4 linked regions of the Saccharomyces cerevisiae S288C genome follow. The gene in region 4 interacts genetically with the main gene of each other region. Each region holds a gene or a part of one and is shown on either strand. Other genes may lie near its edges. The genes, in order: SML1, EST2, RFA2 and RAD59.

Region 1 (4,710 bases), on a different chromosome or scaffold from region 4:
TATAGCGTCTGAAGACATTGCGGGTTCAAGAAGAAGTACTGGCTCCTGTGTGACTCTATGGGAGGGAAGGAATATCTCCTTTTGTTTGTATCGTAGCAATTGGCTTAATACTGTTCCAGTTGGATATATGTTTTTTCTAAGGAAAAATAGGAGTCTTGATGAAAGGTATTTTTAGGACATTTTCTCATTTGTCTCGGGCCGAAAAAAAGCATTGATCAAGAGAGGGGGACAATGTTGGCGCTAGCGATATCTAGCTGTATCAAACGTATTATAGACTATCTTTGATAAAGACACAGAAATACAAAAATACGTAGAAGAGACATATATATATATATATATATATATGTATATAAAGGGAAAGGAAAATGCACGGGAGAGAATGTTTCGAGAATGACAACAATAGTAGGACGAGAGTCCCTGAAAAGAAGGGTATCTAAGAGAAGAAAAGAACAGAACTAGTGGGAAATGGAAAGAGAAAAGAAAAGAGTATGAAAGGAACTTTAGAAGTCCATTTCCTCGACCTTACCCTGGTTGAACATAGATTTTAGTTCGCCAGAACCAAATTTGTTGTTGTTCATGTCATGATCGATAGAGTTGAGTCTCTCCTCCAAATCCTTTTCCCACATTTCTAATGAAGAAGCGGAGGCAGAAGCGGAGCTGCCCATGGAGTTTTGAGTAGACAACATAGGAACCTCAGCCATAGGTGGCAAAGGCACCCTTCTAAATTCCGCCATGGTCACGGTACGCAATGTGGAAGGGGCTTGTTGTTGTTGGCAGCGATTTTGAGCGTAAAAGTAGTCTTGGGAATTTTGCATAGCGGGAAATTATTGAGCAGTTGAAGAGAGGTTAGTGAGACCGTAAGATCACAAAGGAGCAGATAAGACATTTAAAAATGGGAAGGGACAGCCAGGAAAAAAAAAGATCTCTTTTTATACCCGCTGAGGCGGAATCGGGCGAAACGGGCGATGTTCCAAAACAGTAACGATATGTTATGGCTATTTCCTTTTTGGGACGGATGACTTCCCAAAATGGCGACCGCGGCGGGTAGTGGAGCCCGTTTGGGCTCAGCGCGAGGTAACAAAAAAAAATTTCAAATGTTGGCCAAAAAAAAACGTCAATTATTCCTATGTACGAGGTCTAAACATAAAAACATATCTACTATATTCTGACGTATTTATAATCTATTGTTCTTTCCTATCATTGGCCTACAAAAAAAAAGAGAAGCATGCTCTTAGTTGGAAGTATTCTTACCAATGTCAGAAAGACCGCCGCGACGTTCGACGGCAATGATGTTGGCAGAAGGAACGTGATCCTTGGGGAATAAGTAGCCGGTCTTGACACTCTTGTTGACACGGTTGCTCATTGAGCACAAAGTGTCTTGTAGGACGACATCGTCAAGGAAGAATTGCTTTGGGTTAAGGCCTTGGTCCATGGTCATATAGTTTTTTTTTATTGCTGATGTGGTTTGTAGTTATATATATACGTATATTATTTTTCTTATAAGTAAAAGAACAAGAAAGGAAAGGAATGAAAGAAATAGTTTCGAAAAGACAATAGGAAACGCCAAAAATTCATGGCCTTTTATATGCTGGGAATCAGTTGCCTTCGTATCTCGTTTCTCGTTGCTGTGGAAACGAGATACGAAGGCAACCTTTACGTATTTGCCCTAATGTTTCCTTTTCGAGACCTTTGACACATCTTCTTACCCGAAACTAAAAACCTATATTAAAGTGCTTTTCAACCCTTTGAGTAAGTCCGATTTTTATTTAAACCCTTCTTTTTTTTTTTTTTTTTTTTTTTTACAGGTTATAAGGATCTTAAAAATCTGGGAAACTTGACACTTTTCTCGAAAGTTTATTAAGTTAAAGAAACACCACAAAACTCTAACGAATATAAAATAAACAAGAAAAGAATAGAAAGGCTTGGCTCTAGTTTTTGCATGCGTTCAATGAATTGCACTACGAACAACACCAACAATACCGGCCAAAACACGAAAAACAGTCTTGGCTCCAGCTTTAATTCCAGTAATTATACTTCTTATAGATTCCAGACATGTCTCACCGACCAGATTATTTCTGAGGCGCAGACGTGGTCACTTTCATCCCTCTTCAACTTCTCGTGGGTTGTGTCCTACTTTGTTATGGGTGCCTCTCGTATGATCTTCAGGTACGGTTGGTATCTGGCAACTTTATCGCTTTTAAGGATTCCGAAGTGGATCTTCTTCAAGTTACACCATGTTCAGTTCACTCTTTCCTTTTGGCTGATCCTGTTTGCCCTAGCCGTCATAGTCTTTGTGACTTACACCATCATGAAGGAGAGAATTCTATCCCAGTACAAGAGGCTGACCCCGGAGTTCTTGCCGCTGGAAAATACAGGTAAATCTGGCTCCAGCGCCAATATCAATGCAGCTTCCACTCAGTCAGCCAACGCGCCACCCGCCATAGGTTCCTCTACCACGGGTGCAAGCTCGATTATAGACTCAAAAAAGCATTCATTGAAAGATGGCAACGAAAACGAAACCTTTCTTTCATCTTACCTTGACCAATTTCTCAGCGCCATCAAAATCTTTGGCTATCTGGAAAAACCAGTCTTCCATGACCTGACCAAGAATATGAAAACTCAAAAAATGGATGAGGGTGAGATTTTACTGTTGGACAGTACTATTGGGTTTGCCATCGTCGTTGAAGGCACCCTGCAGTTATATCATGAAGTAGATCATTCAGATAAGGACCATGGCGATGAAACTGACCACAGTGACACGGATGGTCTTGACGACCAGGATAGAGATGAAGAAGACGAAGAAGAAGATGATGACATTGATAACTACGACACCAAATCTTGTTCTTCTAACCTCATCGATGAAGAAGATGAATCCGTTGGTTACATTCATCTGAAAAATGGACTGGGAAATTTTCAACTGCTAAATACAGTCAAGCCAGGAAACCCGCTGACCTCCCTCGTGAGCATTTTAAACTTATTCACGCATTCCATGTCCTCGTATGGCAACAGTAACTTTCCCTCTGAGTTATCGTCACCTATAGACACAACGGTGTCGGTCAACAATATGTTCTGCTCATCAGAGCAGAACTTCTCCAACACAGATTCCATGACAAACTCCACCAACAGCTTTCCAACGTTCCCCTCTTCAATGCCTAAACTTGTCGCCCGTGCGGCTACAGACTGCACAATTGGTATTATCCCACCTCAATCGTTTGCCAAATTAACCGCAAAATACCCACGGTCTGCTTCCCATATCATACAGATGGTTCTCACCAAGCTATACCATGTTACGTTCCAAACTGCTCACGACTACTTAGGTTTAACAAAGGAGATCATGGATATCGAAGTTTTACTAAATAAATCCATCGTTTATGAATTGCCTTATTATTTGAAAGAGGCCGTTATTCGTAAGTTTAAAACTGTAGATAAGTCGAGCGGATCGGCTGATTTAGAACCGAAACCCAAAAATAGTAATGCTTCCTCTAAATTGAAGAAACCGCCCAAAGCGAAGCCATCTGATGGTATCATTCAATCGCTTAAGATTGCTAACGCCAACGCTAACACAAGTTCGAATTCCCTTTCACTGAAACCAGAATTCACCCACCATCCAAGTTCGAGACATGTCGTACTGGGTTCAAGAGACCAATTTAATCCTGGTGATTTACTGTCAAATGTCCCACTGTCTAGAACTATGGATATTCTGTCACCCAACCCAATCCATAATAACAACCGCAATAAATCAAACGGTATTAACACTTCTACCTCTAACCAACATAAGCGATCTTCTAGGAGTAGCAGTAACAATGCTTCCGTACACTCTAAGAAGTTTTCTTCTTTGTCCCCAGAATTGCGCAACGCACAACTTAGTACATCGCCCTTGTCCTTGGATAATACTTCTGTTCATGACCATATCCACCCAAGTCCCGTTCATTTGAAGGGACGGGTCTCTCCAAGACCTAATTTACTGCCCACAACATCCTTTTCTGCTGCCCAGGAAGAAACCGAGGACTCTGCTTTAAGAATGGCTTTAGTTGAGGCAATGTTAACATACTTGGGTGTAAACAAAAGCAATATGTCCGTTTCATCTTCTTCGATAGCAAATATGTCTTCTTTAAACTCTCCTCAACTTAATGAAATGTATAGCCGCCGTCCAAGTAACGCAAGTTTTCTGATGTCCCCTCACTGTACACCATCTGACATTTCCGTAGCTTCATCATTTGCCTCTCCTCAAACTCAACCGACAATGTTAAGAATCCTACCCAAAGAATACACTATCAGCAATAAAAGGCATAATAAAAGTAAAAGCCAGGACAAAAAAAAACCTAGAGCTTACAAAGAGGAGTTGACACCCAATTTGGATTTCGAAGATGTCAAGAAAGACTTTGCACAAGGCATTCAGTTGAAGTTCTTTAAAAAGGGCACCACAATTGTTGAGCAGAACGCTCGTGGTAAAGGCCTATTCTATATCATTTCCGGGAAAGTTAATGTGACAACAAATTCGTCCTCGTCAGTAGTATCATCAATGTCTAAACCAGAGCAGGTTTCAGCCCAAAGTTCACACAAGGGTGAAAATCCTCATCATACTCAACATTTGTTATACTCTGTAGGATCTGGTGGTATTGTGGGCTACTTGTCCTCTCTAATTGGTTACAAATCATTTGTTAATATCGTTGCCAAGAGCGATGTCTATGTTGGATTTTTATCTAGTGC
Region 2 (7,014 bases), on a different chromosome or scaffold from region 4:
TTGTCCAGTATTTTTAAGGATAGGAGACAAAACAAAGAAGTGTCATGTGCAACTGCCTACTACAAAAAACGCATTAAGGCTCCTATTTATTGAGCGCTTTGCGTATTCTCCTGGAGCAAATTCCTTCCCAGACATATATATTATGGATCCTCAATATGGAGTATTCTATGAATTAGAGGAACTAAATCTTCTCGATATTAAAGAAGGGTTTGTTATCGAGCTAAAGCTCGAAGAGAATCCAAATAATACGATCAAGGAATTCATTGACACAGTTAAGATGGAGATATCGAATAGTCAGAATGATATAATAAGACATTTAAAAGAAATGAGTTTTGGTTCTGCAATTAGCGGCAAGCAAACGGAAGTTTTACCACAACCTGGCCTTGAAGCTAACAAACACGATCTTGTGGGGCAAAACAAAAAAGATGATGATAAAACGATCAAAGATATTCAGTACGAATTGGGGAAAATAAAACAAGTGCATAATATTAATAGGTCAAATATTAATGAGACTATTTTCAACATTTTACGAAAGGTCGATAACTTTAAGTCTTTATCATTTTCTGCCAAAAACTCTTCCAACAGAATGTACATGGAAAAATCACAGACCGAACTCGGTGATTTATCCGATACTCTGCTAAGTAAAGTAGATGATTTGCAAGATGTAATCGAAATTATGAGGAAAGACGTTGCTGAGCGTAGGTCTCAGCCCGCTAAAAAGAAGCTAGAAACCGTATCCAAGGATTTAGAAAATGCCCAAGCAGATGTACTTAAACTACAGGAGTTTATTGATACTGAAAAACCACATTGGAAAAAAACTTGGGAAGCTGAGCTCGATAAGGTCTGTGAAGAACAACAGTTTCTCACGTTGCAGGAAGAGTTGATTTTAGATTTGAAGGAAGACTTGGGTAAGGCATTAGAAACTTTCGATCTTATTAAGTTATGTTGTGAAGAACAAGAAAAAAACCCTTCGAGATCAAAAAGTAATCCTATTTTGCCTATTATGAGACCGGGCACATTTAATCAGGTAAGGGAGCAAGTTATGGTGGCCGTCCAATCTTTAAACCCTGACCACGATAGTAGGGTCGAAGCTATTGACAAGGCTGAGAAGATGTGGGAGATGGAAAGAAAACTTAAAGCTAGTAATGAATTTGATGATGAACTGGAAAATTTTGTGGGTAATTCAAACCTGAAAAAATCGGGAGGCTTTGAAGAAGTAGAAAGGATAAGAAAGCAGAAGGATGAAGCAAATTTGAGAGCATATTTTGGGCCGGGGTTTACTTAAATACACTAATTTTATGAAAGCTAACGGAAAAGAGATTAGTGCTTTTGGCTTATTACAAAGTTTGCGGCAATATTTTCCTTATCAGCATCATAAGCTGTCAGTATTTCATGTATTATTAGTACTAATTAACTATATGTATATATATATATATATATGCTTGCAAGTGTTGAATTTCCTTTCTCAAAAGAATGATATTATCTTTAAATTTTGATGTGTTTGAAGATAGGCTTTCCAAAAATCCATTCAATATGGTGAATCGTACCTCATACTCGATTAAAGGATCACATTTCGTAATTGGACAACCGCTGACTGTCATTTCAATGATGCGTTGTAAGAACGAATGAAATTGCATATTTTGCGTAACATTAATTGATAGATCCTTAAAAGCAGATTTATAACATTCCGAAATGTTCTTTACAACATGATCAATTTGCATGAGAACGGTGTTTGTTGAATTTAAATTTGTGTCAATTGTTTTATAAGAGATTCTAGTGTTAAACAGCGCTATTAAACTTCGAAATATCCCTTTACTAGATTTCGAACGGATATGGAAATTATTCATTGTGCTTGAATGTTTCCAAACTTCCAATTCTTTAACAAATATGTGCATTGCACAAAATTGAATAACCGTATCATCATCTGATTGGGAGCTTACGGCTAAAATTTTGTCTCTATTGGCTTTCGCATTATATTTTTGAAATCCGCCCATGGCAAGCTTTTTGATATTGATCACTTGCTGTTGGTCTGTTGATATTATAAGGAAATCGTCAGCCAGTTTTAAAATTAATGTGTCCTGGCTAGGACTGGCTTTAAACTCGCTATAAAACTCCAGAAGATCGTCATACACCAAATCAACGATCGGAGCAGATAAACTAGAGCCCTGAAAAAGACCATCTTCTCTAATGTAGCACTTATCTTCAACCCACAAAGCTGTTTTAAATATTTCCATCTCTACAACGTTTATAACATCCTGATTTGATAAATGAACCGTCCTCACATTATCTATGTATAGCTCATAAGGTTTTGGTACTCTGCTAGCGTTAACAACATTAAATAACTTCAATACACCTGTATTGGTATTGAAGAAATATTGAGATCTAACGAAAAACCCATTTTCATTTTTTAGCGCATCCTTGAGTATCCTCATACATTCCATCCTTGGTATGGAATCATAGCAAGATTTGACATCAAATTTCATGAAATAAAGCTCTGGTAAGACATTATTAAATTTCTTTAAAAGTCTCTGCTTAAATTCTTTGATACGGTCAGCTATTTGCGTTGGAGAATATATTTTAGTAAAACTAGTCGGCCTTTTGTTTCTTAGGTATTCTAAAATTTTTTGAGTGGGCTGGATAGCATTTTTGTGATTCTCCTTATAAATTGTGAATTCTTCTTCGTCTGCCCCTCTGCATGGGATGGCAATAATCCTGAACTCATTATTACTTTTTTTTGGTATAATCCTCATTTTGCTATGATTGAAATTGGACAACGTGTAACTATTATGGTTTCTACATACGTTGTTTTCGACTAAGTACGTCTTAAAATATTCTACGATAAAAGGGGTGATAAGTTTATTCCAAGTATCATGTCTAAAGTAAACAATTGTCACTGTAGAAGATATTTCGGTGCAGTAAAAAAAAGTCTGTATAATTTTGGGAATTAGTTGTCTAAATAGCCAGGAAATGAAACAAATCGCCAATTGATTCAAGTTTTCAAAATTGTGCTTGGTGAACCAAATATCAGAAATGAACAACCACCGAAAATCCTTTAATCTTAACTTTTTCAACAAACTATCAAATGGTAAATAGCCATTTAAGGGTAAACTTAATAAAAGATTTAGATTCTTGATAATTTTTCCTTTATTTTTCTTTGAGCCAAACATTTCTTGGGGTAATAACTTCTGTAAAATAACAATGATAAATTTCAAGACTCGTTCCTTTGGTGATTGCCTACTCAAATGCGACAAGTCCAATACGGTCCCTTCCAATGGTGGGCAAATACTATTCAAAATAGAAACGTAATTCAAACGCTTATGTCTCTTTAATAGCTTTTGCAGCGTCAAATTAATTCGTACCTTTAGTCTCTGAGGAATTTTAACCAAATTTGTGGGAAAAATAGCTTCTCTCAAGTCAGTTAGCTTTTTGATAGATGATGATGAAGGAAGGATCTTGCTATAAGGAAAAAAAGAAGAGGAATTTATATTGAGCTTGTGTAAGAATTGTTTATTTGTCACTGGTTCTGTAAGTTGTTTGATTTGCGCAGCAGTTGCGGATGATGAGGATGATCGTTGAGCCCATTTGGGCGGCAGATGAGGTTCGTTACATCTGTTACCCACGATTTGAGTGAAAAACTGCCCATTAAATTGAATTACTGTATAATTGATCAATAAATCAACGAATGCGTATGTACCGACCAAACTGTGGAACATTTTCCAAGCAGCGCCTTTCAGTAACGTAACGTTAACATTTGCAGAATGGCAAAAAAGACTATTGTTGACATCTTCATTTCTAGCTATTTTATAGCCAAATGTTAGTACGTTGTTGTATAATTCGCCCGTCAACAGGTAAATGATGCAGTGATCAATGACTGCTTTGTGGCTTAAGTCACCAGGAAGGCATGGTAATGCTATTTTTCTTGAATTTGGTAGTGCGAAACACGTAGTTAGAATTTCATCGAGGCCATTGAAGTGACCACATTTTAAATTTTCTTTGTAAGTACTGTTGGTCTGTAGATCAATGTCAAGCTTGTCTTGAATGAACTCGAATAAGATTTTCATGAGTATAAATCAGTTTTTTTTTTTTTTTTTTTTTTTTTAATTTTTCACTTTTCTATTTCACTTGTGTCATTCATTGCCATGCTTTACTTTTTTTCATTCCTAAATGCGAATCACCAATAGCTCATCTAAAGGTATATATTATTCAAACCTCAGAAGGATAATATTCATGAGGGCGTGTTAGTTATGGTTAAGAAAGTTAATAATCCGCTAAAAATCGATTATCAGAACGGGATAATAGAAAATCGGCTTCTGCAAATTAGAAATTTCAAAGATGTAAATACGCCCAAACTAAGTATGTATCTATGAGATCTAACAGAAATCAGGATCAATTAACTAACTTTCAAACATATATAAGTGCAGTCAATGTATGGAGTATAAGAATAGATCCAAGAGACTCGAAGAAAGTAATAGAGTATGTATATGATTTTTGCTTTTGTATTCATGGAAGTAAACTAACTAGTAAAGTAGGCTAATTCGAAACGATTTTCAGAAAAATGACCCTGTTTCATTGAGACATTTGAAAAGGATCCGCAAGGACATCGAGACCTCCACCTTGGAAGTGGTGTTGTGTTCGAAAGAGTATATTTGCGACGAAGGTGAAATAAACAATAAATTGAAGAGTATTTGGGTTGGAACGAAAAAGTATGAACTGAGTGATGATATCGAAGTGCCTGAGTTTGCGCCCAGCACAAAGGAACTGAACAATGCCTGGTCTGTGAAGTACTGGCCGTTGATTTGGAACGGCAACCCCAATGATCAAATATTGAACGACTATAAAATAGACATGCAGGAAGTACGAAATGAGCTATCGCGTGCGTCGACGTTGTCTGTGAAGATGGCAACGGCAGGAAAACAGTTTCCAATGGTGAGCGTCTTTGTTGACCCATCAAGAAAGAAGGACAAAGTGGTGGCAGAAGATGGCAGAAACTGCGAAAACTCGCTACCCATCGACCACAGTGTAATGGTGGGCATCCGTGCGGTAGGCGAAAGACTCAGGGAGGGTGTAGACGAAGACGCAAACTCTTATCTGTGTCTTGATTACGACGTCTATTTGACCCATGAGCCGTGCTCAATGTGCTCCATGGCCCTGATCCATTCTCGTGTGAGACGAGTGGTCTTCCTTACAGAGATGCAGCGCACCGGGAGCTTAAAATTAACGAGTGGTGACGGGTACTGCATGAACGATAACAAACAGCTAAACTCAACATACGAAGCCTTTCAATGGATCGGCGAGGAATATCCTGTGGGGCAGGTTGACCGGGATGTCTGCTGCTAGTTTTCCTCTAATAGATTAATATAAGATTGTATAATTTGTAATAGGCCAGGAATGGCATTGTCTCCTGCACTCGGTGAGCGAACCATATTTTCAAATTCTGCTAGTTCCGAGGTCTTTTCCTGAATAGCATCATCCAGAATCTGCAAACGCTGTTGCAACAGGTCATTAATCTTGTACAGCGCGTCGATCAGTGTCTCGAGGCTAAGGGAGTGTGATAGTTGCTCGCTTTCCAGAAATCGCAGTAATCTAGAGCGCAACGTTATGAAAAACTGCTTGATTCGTGCTTCTAACTCAGAGGTCACTCGCGCATCCCTGGCCTGAAGCAATTCGTACCAATGTTGCAGTTGTTGCTCGTCGCTCGTGTACGACTGTAGTTGCTGCTTGAACTCTTGAAAACTTATCAGAGTAGTGAGTAGCGAATCCGAAACATAGTTATGCAGCAGCTGTTCAGAGTTCATTTATAATGGTAATTTCAAAGCAAGATTGGGAGCACAATTGTCAAATCTATGATTATTTTGTTGCGTTATACCCAGCTTTTGGGCTTTTTCGAGAACGATCTTCGTTGTTTTTCGCTGTTTCTCCGCGAAGCGGGCAGCGGCGACGGTAATATTGGCTGTTAATCTATTGTTATCTTGTAGTTGTACAAGATCATTCCTTTAATTCTATATATTAACTGTTCGTGGCGTAACAAGAAATCGATTCTGACATCAAATGGAAGACATCAGCAGTTACACTAGTGGTGCAGGAAAGGCACCGCAAGGGAGTGCAAGAAGCTGTGAGAAACAACTTTATATAACTTGCTGCTTGATAATTGTGACAGAATATTCTCGCACCTTGCAAACATATATAGCAGCACCTCTAGATTTCTCCTTCCTTCCTTTCGTAAAAAGGAACCACCTGGGCGGCTAATTTAGTATTTTCGTCTTTTATGATCTACGTGTGTAATGATATGGTGGGGGCGTGTTTTCGCTTCCCATTTTTTGCCATTTTTTGTCTCGGTTTTAGGAATTGCGTTTTGTGTTGTTTTGTGTATTAAGTTAAAATCTCTCGAGGAAAGCAGATCAAGAAAATATCAAATCCAGGATCACACGACAACTGAACGATTACATCGGCCTATAATACGTTGCCATGAGTTTAAAGGAGGAACAAGTGTCCATTAAGCAGGACCCGGAACAAGAAGAGCGTCAGCATGATCAATTCAATGATGTTCAGATCAAACAAGAGTCGCAGGATCATGATGGAGTGGACTCGCAGTACACGAACGGTACGCAAAATGACGACAGCGAGAGATTTGAGGCAGCTGAATCCGATGTAAAGGTGGAACCCGGCCTCGGTATGGGCATCACCTCCTCTCAGAGCGAAAAGGGTCAAGTTCTGCCTGACCAACCGGAGATTAAGTTCATTCGTCGTCAAATCAATGGTTATGTAGGGTTTGCTAATTTGCCCAAGCAATGGCACAGAAGGTCCATAAAGAACGGATTCAGTTTCAATCTCCTATGTGTCGGCCCTGATGGTATTGGTAAGACAACTTTAATGAAAACTTTATTTAATAATGATGATATTGAGGCCAATTTAGTGAAAGATTACGAGGAGGAACTTGCAAATGATCAGGAAGAAGAGGAGGGTCAGGGCGAGGGTCACGAGAACCAATCACAAGAACAAAGGCACAAGGTCAAA
Region 3 (5,175 bases), on a different chromosome or scaffold from region 4:
ATTATACATGAAAGGTGCTCTTCATATTTGGCTTCTTGCTTCCACTAGCCTATCCCAACCAGGAGAGTCATCCCATCTGCCTTTGCCTTTACTCATTAGAGCTTTGATAGTAGATCTACATTTGTATTTCCAGTCTTTGCAAACCAGACTGCCTGGCCCATATTTACCTTCCATTTCACCAAGTGATTCATAGGCAGCCACCAAATCTTCACAAGCATCCACTGTATCATTCCAAACCTTTTCTTCAACTTCTAAATCAGGATTGTGAGAAATGGCCCTATAAGCCTTCTCGTGGCATTCTAGGGCGGCCCATGGTCTCTTCCTCCAAAGTTCTACTCTTGCGACCAGTCGCCAACATCTTGCACTGGTTGTAATTACCTGAGGTAAAGTGTTACAGATAAACTCAGTACAGCTCTTTTGAAAATAAGATAATTGCTGCGGCTCCTCTGGATATTCACTAGTCACTAATAGTTCTACTAGTTTTTCAATAATTGGTAAGTCGATGGAACCTTCGCCAGATTTGTCCCTCCTAATACTGACTAATTGTTTACATGCAGTTAAGACATCCTCCCACTCATTCAACTTAACAGCAACAAGCATGTAATTCTCCCAAATTTTCCAGTTCTTTTGAGCGTCACATGAAATGGCTCTTTTCAAACAACTATAAGCTTCTTTCAATTTATCCATTTTCGTATATGCAGCGCTCAAATTTGACCATGAAAGAGCATGATAAGGGTCTAATGAAACACATCTGGTAAATGCCTCCGCAGCTATCTGCATTTTACCACATTGTAATCCAACGCAACCATAAAAATACCACGTTTCAAAGCTTAATGGGTATTGCCTTAACGAGTCATTTAAATGTTTCAAGGTAGCAGAGTAATTTGGTTGTGCTCCAGACTTTGGAGGAGGATTAAAGTAATACTTTGCAAGGGAATTTTTTGCGTTGACGTATTTTCCAATCTCCCAACTTTTTTCCCATAGGGATGGATCCTGTTTTATATCACCCAAAATGGAGTAAGCCCTGGCATCCGAATCATTTTCATTTATTCTTTGAAGAAGGATTTCTTCTGCCTTTTTTTCATCTCCAACAGCGGCATAACATAATGCAGTCTCGCATGCCATACCAAGTCTTTCATAAATTTCCACAGCGGACTTCAAAATACCCAGCGACATATATTTTTCAGCTAAGGTGGCATCCAATTGCCACCTAGGGATGAACGGCAGCTGGTGGATGTATGACAGCCTGCTAGCAACATTGATTTCGCTTGAACTTGGAACCAATTTACTCTTAATCTTCAAATCCAATTCTTCTACGAGGGATTGCATTTGTAAAAGTCCTCTTTCAATAGTTTTAGCCTTTGTTGTCTCAATAATTGACCTTTCCCATAATGATCGGGCGAAAATAGACCAATTTTTGTCACCGTTTTGATATAATATTCTAGAAAGCAAAGCAGTAAGTTCTTCTTCCACAAGAGGATCCTTGGCCGGAGTTGTGTTCTTTATGGTGTAAAGACGTAACAGCAACTGGATGTTGTCGTAATCAGATAGGGTAGGTTGATCGTTAGGGTTCAAATCCAGCAACAACTTTGGAATATTTTCTTGACGTAGTGCCAATGGCAATAGTTTATCTTCTTCATAACCTTCATTTAGGTCTACCTTTTGTCTTTTACTATAAATTTGCTCGTCTAGAGGTTCATCAGCAATGGACTCAAAATGAGGCTTCTCCAATAATAGATCGGACTCTAAAGCAAATGTTTCTGGTGTAGCAGATGTCGTTCTCAAAGCAAAATTTTGAAATGTGAAGGATTTGGCAAGAATGATCAAACCGGCATGAGCCTTTTGCTGATATTTAGTTCTAGTAGCGCGTGCACCCGTCATTACAAATTCAAAATTTGTTATCTTTTTCGCTCTGGTCAAGGATGGCAGGCACAAATGTTCTGTGTTGATGGCCAATGAACATTTGACATTCTCTAGATAGTACATTGCACAAAGTTCTCTTTTGAAATCTTCGTGAATACTCTCCGGTAATTCCTTAGTTATCGCATATGCAAGGTCAGCAGACTGATATATTGCAGATGCAACACTAGCTTGGAACCCAGAAGGTTCTGGAATCAGTGACAATTGCGTCAAAAGAGCTCTTGCCCACCACCAATAAGCTACAGCTAATAATCCAGGAGTAGACTCAGCAGAGATAATAGGTAGCGGAATTTCTTGATCCGGGGTAACATCAAATAAGCTTTTTTGGCCGGTTATCCTTTCAAGTAATAATAGTGATAAAACCAAATACAATGGATCATCCATAAATTCGTAGGCAGGCTGGCCCATAATGGCTAATGAGCGGGAAAGGGCTGTATTAACTGCTCCTATTTCAATTCCAGTTTTGCCAAACAAACCTGAGATTGCTTTCAACCTAGCTGCTGGGCCGGTGTAGTTATTTTGAATAAAGGTCTGTAAGAGGGCAATAGCCAAAAATAGCATCTCATTTTCTTGGCCCATTTTGAAAACCTCAACGTTAAGAAAGTCATTTAGAGCAGCAATAACACTAGATGTGGATATTTCTCCCGAAATACTAATTTTTCCCTTAAATTTGTCCACAAATTGCTGTACTAGCTGGTATGATTCACCACTGATGATATGTTCAGCCTTTTTCACATATGTCTGGTCGAAAGAACCACTTTTCAGAGATTCTACTTCTGCAGACAGCAATAATTTTGCATGCAATAACGTCTCCATAATTTTGCAACCACTAGTTTACTTTTTGCCTGGTCTGATAGCTTCTTTTTAGCAATTCCTTTGGCCTCGATGAGCTTCCATTTTCAATTTTCATCTTTTTTTTCACGATGCGAAGTTTCTTAGATAATTATCGCCATATACGAAACGCGTTAGGAAACGCGTTCTTTCCTTTATAATAAGCAATATTATATCAACTTAAGGTGGAAGTAATGTGGCAAAATCGATAGCGACTATCTAGAACAGGCTAGTTTAAGCATATACATAATGGCAAGTATGTATTAGTGCTAGGAATTGGAGGATTTGCTCTTTTCTGCATCATTTTTTTTATTTTTATTGGCGAATGTTAAAATTACTAACAATGGATGGGATTCCAATACAGCCTATCAACCATATAACGAATATTCATCAGTAACGGGCGGTGGCTTTGAGAACTCTGAGTCCCGCCCAGGTAGTGGGGAGTCGGAAACTAACACTAGAGTTAACACCTTGACACCTGTGACGATCAAACAAATTCTAGAGTCCAAACAGGATATTCAGGACGGCCCCTTCGTTTCGCATAACCAAGAACTTCATCACGTTTGTTTTGTAGGTGTGGTGAGAAACATTACAGACCATACTGCAAATATTTTTTTAACTATTGAGGATGGAACTGGTCAAATAGAAGTGAGAAAATGGAGCGAAGATGCAAATGACTTGGCTGCCGGTAACGATGACTCTTCTGGTAAAGGTTATGGTTCGCAAGTCGCCCAACAATTTGAAATTGGCGGTTACGTAAAAGTTTTTGGTGCTTTGAAAGAGTTTGGTGGTAAGAAAAATATACAGTATGCGGTGATTAAGCCCATAGATTCATTCAATGAAGTGTTGACGCATCACTTGGAAGTCATCAAATGTCATTCCATAGCCAGTGGAATGATGAAACAACCTTTGGAGAGTGCATCCAACAACAATGGGCAATCATTATTTGTCAAGGATGATAACGATACATCTTCCGGCTCCAGTCCGTTACAAAGAATTCTAGAATTTTGTAAGAAGCAATGTGAGGGCAAAGACGCTAATTCATTCGCTGTTCCCATTCCATTGATCTCGCAATCCTTGAATTTGGATGAAACTACCGTCAGAAACTGCTGTACGACCTTGACTGACCAGGGTTTTATCTACCCAACTTTTGATGACAATAACTTCTTTGCCCTATGAAAATATATAGATTATTTTTTTAGCATTTCTTAGTATTCGTTTGTGTATTTCTACTAGGTAAGTACCAAAATTTGCCGGAAATAGAGTGGAAAATGGAACCCGTTCCAAGAAGGGGTAAGATGCATGAATATTAAGTTGGTTGCATAAATATGCTATATAAAGTCCACTACAAAAAGTCATTTATTTTTGCCCGTAAGAATAAAGAACGAATCCGTCCTTATCTCTGACTTCAATGGGAACATTTACACGCAGTACGGGCTTCAATAATAGTTCCCAGTCGTATCTGGTTCTAGGTGTACATAATGAAAAATGTCTCAGCATTCTTATTTTGACAGCTTTGAATTTTGACAAATTTCTCAGGAAACACCAGAGGTTAATATTTGGAATATCTTTAAAATTCTCTGGATCTTGGAAATCATTGAAAAAATTTTCCAATGTCACATTTTGTAAGAACTCCTCCACATCTAAATCTCTATATTCGATGGTTCGGTTCTTCAATTTGATTAAACTATCTCTTAGGCAACGCCTTACAGAGTTGTTCCAATAGTAAGTGTGGTGAATGTCTGATTCAGGGCTCATTACTGTACTTAAATTTGGAACTGCATTAGCATTTGGTATGTTATCTCTTATGGAATTATTTTCGTAACCGATTAATGTTTCTTGATCGTTCTCGTCGCCAACATCCTCATCTGTCTCATCAACACTAGTAATTGTTCTTGCTAGATGTTCCCAAAACGATAGAGGGGATAAAGGATACACATTGGTAAAGGGGATATTGATTACGTTAATAGAAATATTTTTACTTGGAAGTCTCTCCCAAAGTAAGCGGTAATAATGGTAGAAAGAATGAAATTCAGGGATTCTTTGTCGTTGAAAATTTTGTAGCTGTGCCGCAGTTAACATGGCGGGCTTTTTGTTATTGTCTGGTGATGGGTTATTTGAAACATCATTTCCTGTAGTTCTAGAAATATAGTTCAGATTTAAGGACAATACAACTGAAGATGTCGGCGGAGGAGTAATTATCTTCGAATCTGATGGCGCTTCAAATAATGTTTCTGTCATGGAATTGCAGTCATCAAAATCATCTTCTGTATCCAAACTTCGCTGTTGGAAATAATATGATTCGCCGACTACCTGTTCGTTAGTGAAACATTTGCTATTACAATCAATTGTTAGATTGGATAACGATGGGAAACAACTGCATAACAATAAGTCGAATTTACTGTTAATCTTCAGTAAGGATAG
Region 4 (4,851 bases):
TTGCCTCTGTAATTTTTCGACTTCTTCGAAAGATATTTTATTGATTGGCTCTTCGTCAGGGTCGTGAGACAATGCAGTTCTGATCCTGTATATGTTTTCATTAAATAACTGTATGAAGTAAGTGCTGAAATAAACTTTTGGTAAACCAGTTTCATCAAGCTCCGGAGTTAGTATACTGTCTTCATTCATATCAACTTTTGAGAAATATGAATCTTTTTTAAATTGTTTGATTCGAGAAGCATAATTGTCTTTTCCCAAAGTTTTAGTGATGAATTCGAAGTATTCCTTTCTTGGGAATGGAGATTCTTTCGAGGAAAACTCGTATGCCACACCTAGTAACATTGTTACAAGGCATTTGATAGTAACGTCTTCATCTTGAATTTGGTAAGAGAAGGAAAGCAAGGATTTAATCACGGATTTATCCGAAAGAAAATCGTTCGTGGCCTTAAAGTCGCCAAAGAGCCAATATATTAGGAACGTTAAGTAGGAAATAGGAATTCTTATGTCAGCAGCAGTAAGGGAAGTAGTTAGCAATTCACTTATTGTTTGAATTGCCTTTAAGGGTTCTTCGTCTTCGAGATCGTTACCGGTGGTAACATTTCTTGTTATTTCACGTAGTTCTTCGCTATATTTGTGATCCTGTTGGAAAAAAAACATAAAAATATCAGTTGTGAAGAATAATTTAAAAGGGTTCAGATTCAATTCTGCGTCATAATTTAACAGGACTTCGAATAGATTTGCCTTGAAAGAACCTTCATATTCAGTGCCATCCTTCCCGTCGGTATCTTTATCTGAATCACTTTCTTTATCAGATTTGTTAGAACCACCATTTTCTTTAGCATTGTCGCCGACATTATTTGTTGAATTATTACACAATTGGACTTGTTTTAGTAAAAAATCTCTTTGAAGATCAAAATTATCCATGAAATAAGCCTTTAATAGTCTAGAACACGCAACTCTTGTATCAAACGTGTGAACGGAGTTGGCATAGAGCATCCAATTTATCAAGATGCTGACTACAGGAATTAATTTAATTGGACCACCGTTTGCAGTAGAGTTTACAGGTAATGAAGGATCGAAATATGGAACATCGATCTTACTAAACTCTAGCTGTGCATGTTCATTACTTCTAACCATGTTTGCGGCAGTCAAAAGAGCAACCGGTCTAACTTTTTTTGGGATATTATGAAAGAATGCAAGTCGCAACACAACCATTAATACGCTTGAGTCAAGCAACGCATTTTGATGCTTAGTGGTGACAGTATTTCCTGGCTCTACTGTTAGGCTGACGATATCTAAAGCTGTATTGATATTAACTATCCTTTGATCATTCCAAAAAAAAACTTCATCTTGAGATATTGGTTCACTCAAAAGGTGTGCCAGTTTTGGCAAGTTTCCTGTCTCAAGGAATAAAGTTTGATTAGAAGTGTTATACTTCAGGATGTTATTGATCAACGATAAACAATCATTGACGACGAGAGAGCCTCTTAACCCACCTTCTTCTTCGATGATGGAAAAGAGCCTTTCAAAAATGTTTTCAAAAGCAACCAATTTTTGAACGTGAGGTGAATCGTTCACTACTGCCATTAATAATAAAATAGCTTCATCCCTGATGGGCTCATGCATGTCATCTAGGAGTGAGACCATTGTGGATATGCTCGTTGGAAGTGAAATCAAAGCACTTCTCGCCTTCAACGGCCTCGTGGCCATCACTGCCTCTAGTAATTGAATTGTGTACAATCTAATATGGAAATTATCGATTTCCCAAAATTCAACAAGTAGGTGAATTAAATCTTCAGACTGCGTCAAAGCATCAGCAATCCATAACGAGAACTGATCTACTTGTTCCTTTTCTTGCTTCATCACCAATGGTGAGGGATACTTGCCATTCTGCAACCGCGATTGTTGAGAAATCCAACCTCTAGTTAAGTCGTCATGGCCATCGCCTCTGATGAAAAGAATCAAAATTGTTTCTAATATAGCCTTTACCGAATCTTCATCCATATAATCACGTTTCAAAGTATTGAGCAACGGTTTTAGCCCGGATGCAATCACTGATTCTCTATACTGCCGGCTAAATGCCTTTAATCCCAGCACAGCGGATCTCCTATCGCTAATCAAAGTGGAGTTCTCAACTCGATCGCACAACGTCGGAATGGTTTCATCCACAGATTGAATTTTTGGTTGCTGTATCAGTCCTTGAATGATGTCCATTCTTGATAGGAGGGTTGTTATAGATATTAATCACTCGAAGTCGTGAACAAGAATTGTCTTCTCTCCAGTATTCAGTCTCTGTGATGTCTAAACCCTGTTAATGTGCAAGGTCTATTTTTTTCGTAAGAACCACGCGCTTTAGGCTTTATTTCTGGTAATAATAGCAAGAAATAAGAACAGACAGTTGCAAATCTAAACGACTGTCCAAACGAAAGTATCAAGTTCGCTAAATTTACTTCGAAGACAGAAGCCAGTAAATTTTGTTTTCTTCATGGAAATAGTTTCCAAAAAGTTCTTAGTAATTACCATATGTTCTTGTATGTGGCGCTGCGAAAGAAAGGTTAGCCGACCGGCATCACCCATAATTGTATAATATAGCAATGAAGCAACTTGTTGAAGTTTTCTTTAAAGTACTATAGTATTGAATAATATCATGTTCACTTGATAAAATTGGGTATTTTATTGACCATTATATCGCGTTGGACACTAATGTCTTTCAAGTTGGTGTCACGTCACGTGCTTTTCAATGTACTGGGGCAAATTGATTAGAGGAAGCCACAGTTTGGCAAGGGCAGATATGATAGGAAGCAGTAACGGCAAGGAAGGATAAGAACATCATTGAGGGAGTCTGTGGCAGTTTAGCACATGCTTTGGACCATTAAAGGGTTACGTAGAGGAGAAGAGCATATTTCAGGATAAACAGACAAAATAATGACGATACAAGCGAAGCCCAGTTCGAGCATATCGTATGATTCGACTACATACGGCACAGCACCGGGCTTGGATATAAAAGAGTTCCAAATCATCGAAGATTGGAATGGAAGACCTGCCAGCGCTTGGTCGGTGCAGAGGATTGGGCTTCTACAGTCCAAGATCGAAAGGTACACGTACAATATTTACCACAATAATAAATATGGGAAGCACAACTTATCTAAGCTGATACCAGGGCATGCTCTCATTCAGTTCGCTAATGAAACATTCGGGTATGATGGTTGGCGAATGGATGTTATAGATGTTGAGGCCCGGGAGTGCCAGCCCTTCACCGCAGTAAATAATGGAGAAAACACCAACACTAGTGAGGTCAAGTATACAGTTGTGGCAGAAGCCCAAGTAAAGGTTACCTTAAAGGATGGCACCAACACACAGTGTGGTGGGCTAGGTAGAATTACTTTGTCCTCGAGAGGTGAATGTTATAACAGGTCGAAAAAAGAGGCTGTAGGCGATGCGTTAAAGAAGGCGTTATTGAGCTTTGAAAAAATCATACTCGATTATGAGACTAAGATTACAAATAATTACTATGTCGATGGCTTGTATGGCTCAAAAAAAATTAAAAATGAAGCTAACACCAATTACAACTTATTGTCAGCGACTAATAGCAAGCCGACTTTTATCAAATTGGAGGATGCTAAAGGCACGCATATCAAATAAAAAAAAAAAGAAAGAAAAAGGGCACAAGTAGCAAATTTATTTTGCTTGATAAAAAGTCATAATTTTCACATAATGCATTAATACCTCTACAAAATAAGTGGCATTTGTATTTGATGCGAACGGAACAGGTATCGACTTACCTTTATCAACAGTATCGTTGATACTATTTTATTAGCATTATATTATACAAATAGATCTCACGTACTTATATATATATATATATATATATATACGTGTATATTTTTATCACTTTACATACCATTCCAAGGTAACGAAGGCATGGGCCACATACGTTTGTACAAGGACATAGCAACAACATCCTGCGCAGATAATTTACCATCAAATGTAGCCTTGAAATAACCATGCGTACCCAAACTTTCTTTAATGAAACCTGACCTACCTGATTTGGTGAACAGTGGGATAGACTTGAACCATTCCACATCTTCTGGTCTGAAAAACATGTAACGTACAGTAACCACAGTTTTGTGGAATCTGAATGGATGACCGGTCAAAATGGCTCTCTTTGCTAATATTCTTGAATGGTCTGCATTCAGGAATGTACCGTGACCAATCAATTCAATATTTTTGGCATCTGTTGGTGATGGCTTGAAAAAAATTGCAGGTGACTGGGTGAAATCTACGGGAGCAATACATGTGGCAACTGATACTGTATCTGGATGCAGAAACCTTTCATACTTGTGAACATTATTAGGACTGTTAGAGCCTTGAGAAAATAGAGGTTGAATAGTGTATCTTCTAACACCGTATTGTACTACGATAGGCTCCTGAGAAGGCACAGGTTTGTCATATTGTTCCCATCTTTGTAGAGAGAAGTTGACTACCGCATTTTTGTGTTCATGAAGTAGTAATCCGTAGACAGCAAATAATAGTTGTTTAGGATCTTGAATCTTTTCAAGCAGAAACTTAGGAAACCTGATGAACATCCTAATACGATCACCTGCAATGGCCTGTGCTTCATTCTTGGTTTCCTTTATGATTCTGTTTTTAGTGTTTTTGTAATTGCCAATCCTTAATAGACGTTTCCATTCCGCTGGTGATGATGGGTCCTTTTCATCAACTTGCCAATCACAGTTGTATAAGTTTTTCAAACCTCTATACCTTTTCAAACGTTCGATGGCAGATTCACTGGGCTCTAGTTCGATCTCATCGGGGAACTCTCTGTCCTCCTTTTCCATATCTCTAAATTCC

What was found.
Region 1: of RAD59 (region 4) and SML1, changing one enhances a phenotype caused by changing the other (phenotypic enhancement), as found in Saccharomyces cerevisiae (one study listed by BioGRID).
Region 2: mutations in RAD59 (region 4) and EST2 impair growth when combined (synthetic growth defect), as found in Saccharomyces cerevisiae (2 studies listed by BioGRID, with this or other methods).
Region 3: mutations in RAD59 (region 4) and RFA2 together harm fitness more than expected from each alone (negative genetic interaction), as found in Saccharomyces cerevisiae (3 studies listed by BioGRID, with this or other methods).

What each region holds. Positions count from the first base shown.
Region 1 is NC_001145.3:155,488-160,197, reverse strand, and holds SML1 (ribonucleotide reductase inhibiting protein SML1), read right to left. Parts: upstream 816-4,710; coding exon 501-815; downstream 1-500. Other genes in the region: CMP2 (calcineurin catalytic subunit A), read right to left, coding at 1-18; HUG1 (Hug1p), read right to left, coding at 1,232-1,438; NTE1 (lysophospholipase), read left to right, coding at 1,940-4,710. UniProt on the Saccharomyces cerevisiae protein: Strong inhibitor of ribonucleotide reductase (RNR1) and is involved in regulating dNTP production.
Region 2 is NC_001144.5:763,589-770,602, reverse strand, and holds EST2 (telomerase reverse transcriptase), read right to left. Parts: upstream 4,062-7,014; coding exon 1,407-4,061; downstream 1-1,406. Other genes in the region: BUD6 (formin-mediated actin nucleation enhancer), read left to right, coding at 1-1,285; TAD3 (Tad3p), read left to right, coding at 4,245-4,353, 4,422-4,473, 4,530-5,337; NKP2 (Nkp2p), read right to left, coding at 5,334-5,795; septin CDC3, read left to right, coding at 6,466-7,014. UniProt on the Saccharomyces cerevisiae protein: Telomerase is a ribonucleoprotein enzyme essential for the replication of chromosome termini in most eukaryotes. It elongates telomeres.
Region 3 is NC_001146.8:45,287-50,461, forward strand, and holds RFA2 (Rfa2p), read left to right. Parts: upstream 1-3,000; coding exon 3,001-3,007; intron 3,008-3,115; coding exon 3,116-3,930; downstream 3,931-5,175. Other genes in the region: tetratricopeptide repeat-containing protein EMW1, read right to left, coding at 22-2,736; putative SCF ubiquitin ligase complex subunit SKP2, read right to left, coding at 4,111-5,175. UniProt on the Saccharomyces cerevisiae protein: Binds to single-stranded sequences participating in DNA replication in addition to those mediating transcriptional repression (URS1) and activation (CAR1). Stimulates the activity of a cognate strand exchange protein (SEP1).
Region 4 is NC_001136.10:343,028-347,878, reverse strand, and holds RAD59 (Rad59p), read left to right. Parts: upstream 1-2,925; coding exon 2,926-3,642; downstream 3,643-4,851. Other genes in the region: USO1 (Uso1p), read right to left, coding at 1-2,214; small subunit rRNA maturation protein TSR1, read right to left, coding at 3,894-4,851. UniProt on the Saccharomyces cerevisiae protein: Involved in the repair of double-strand breaks in DNA during vegetative growth via recombination and single-strand annealing. Anneals complementary single-stranded DNA.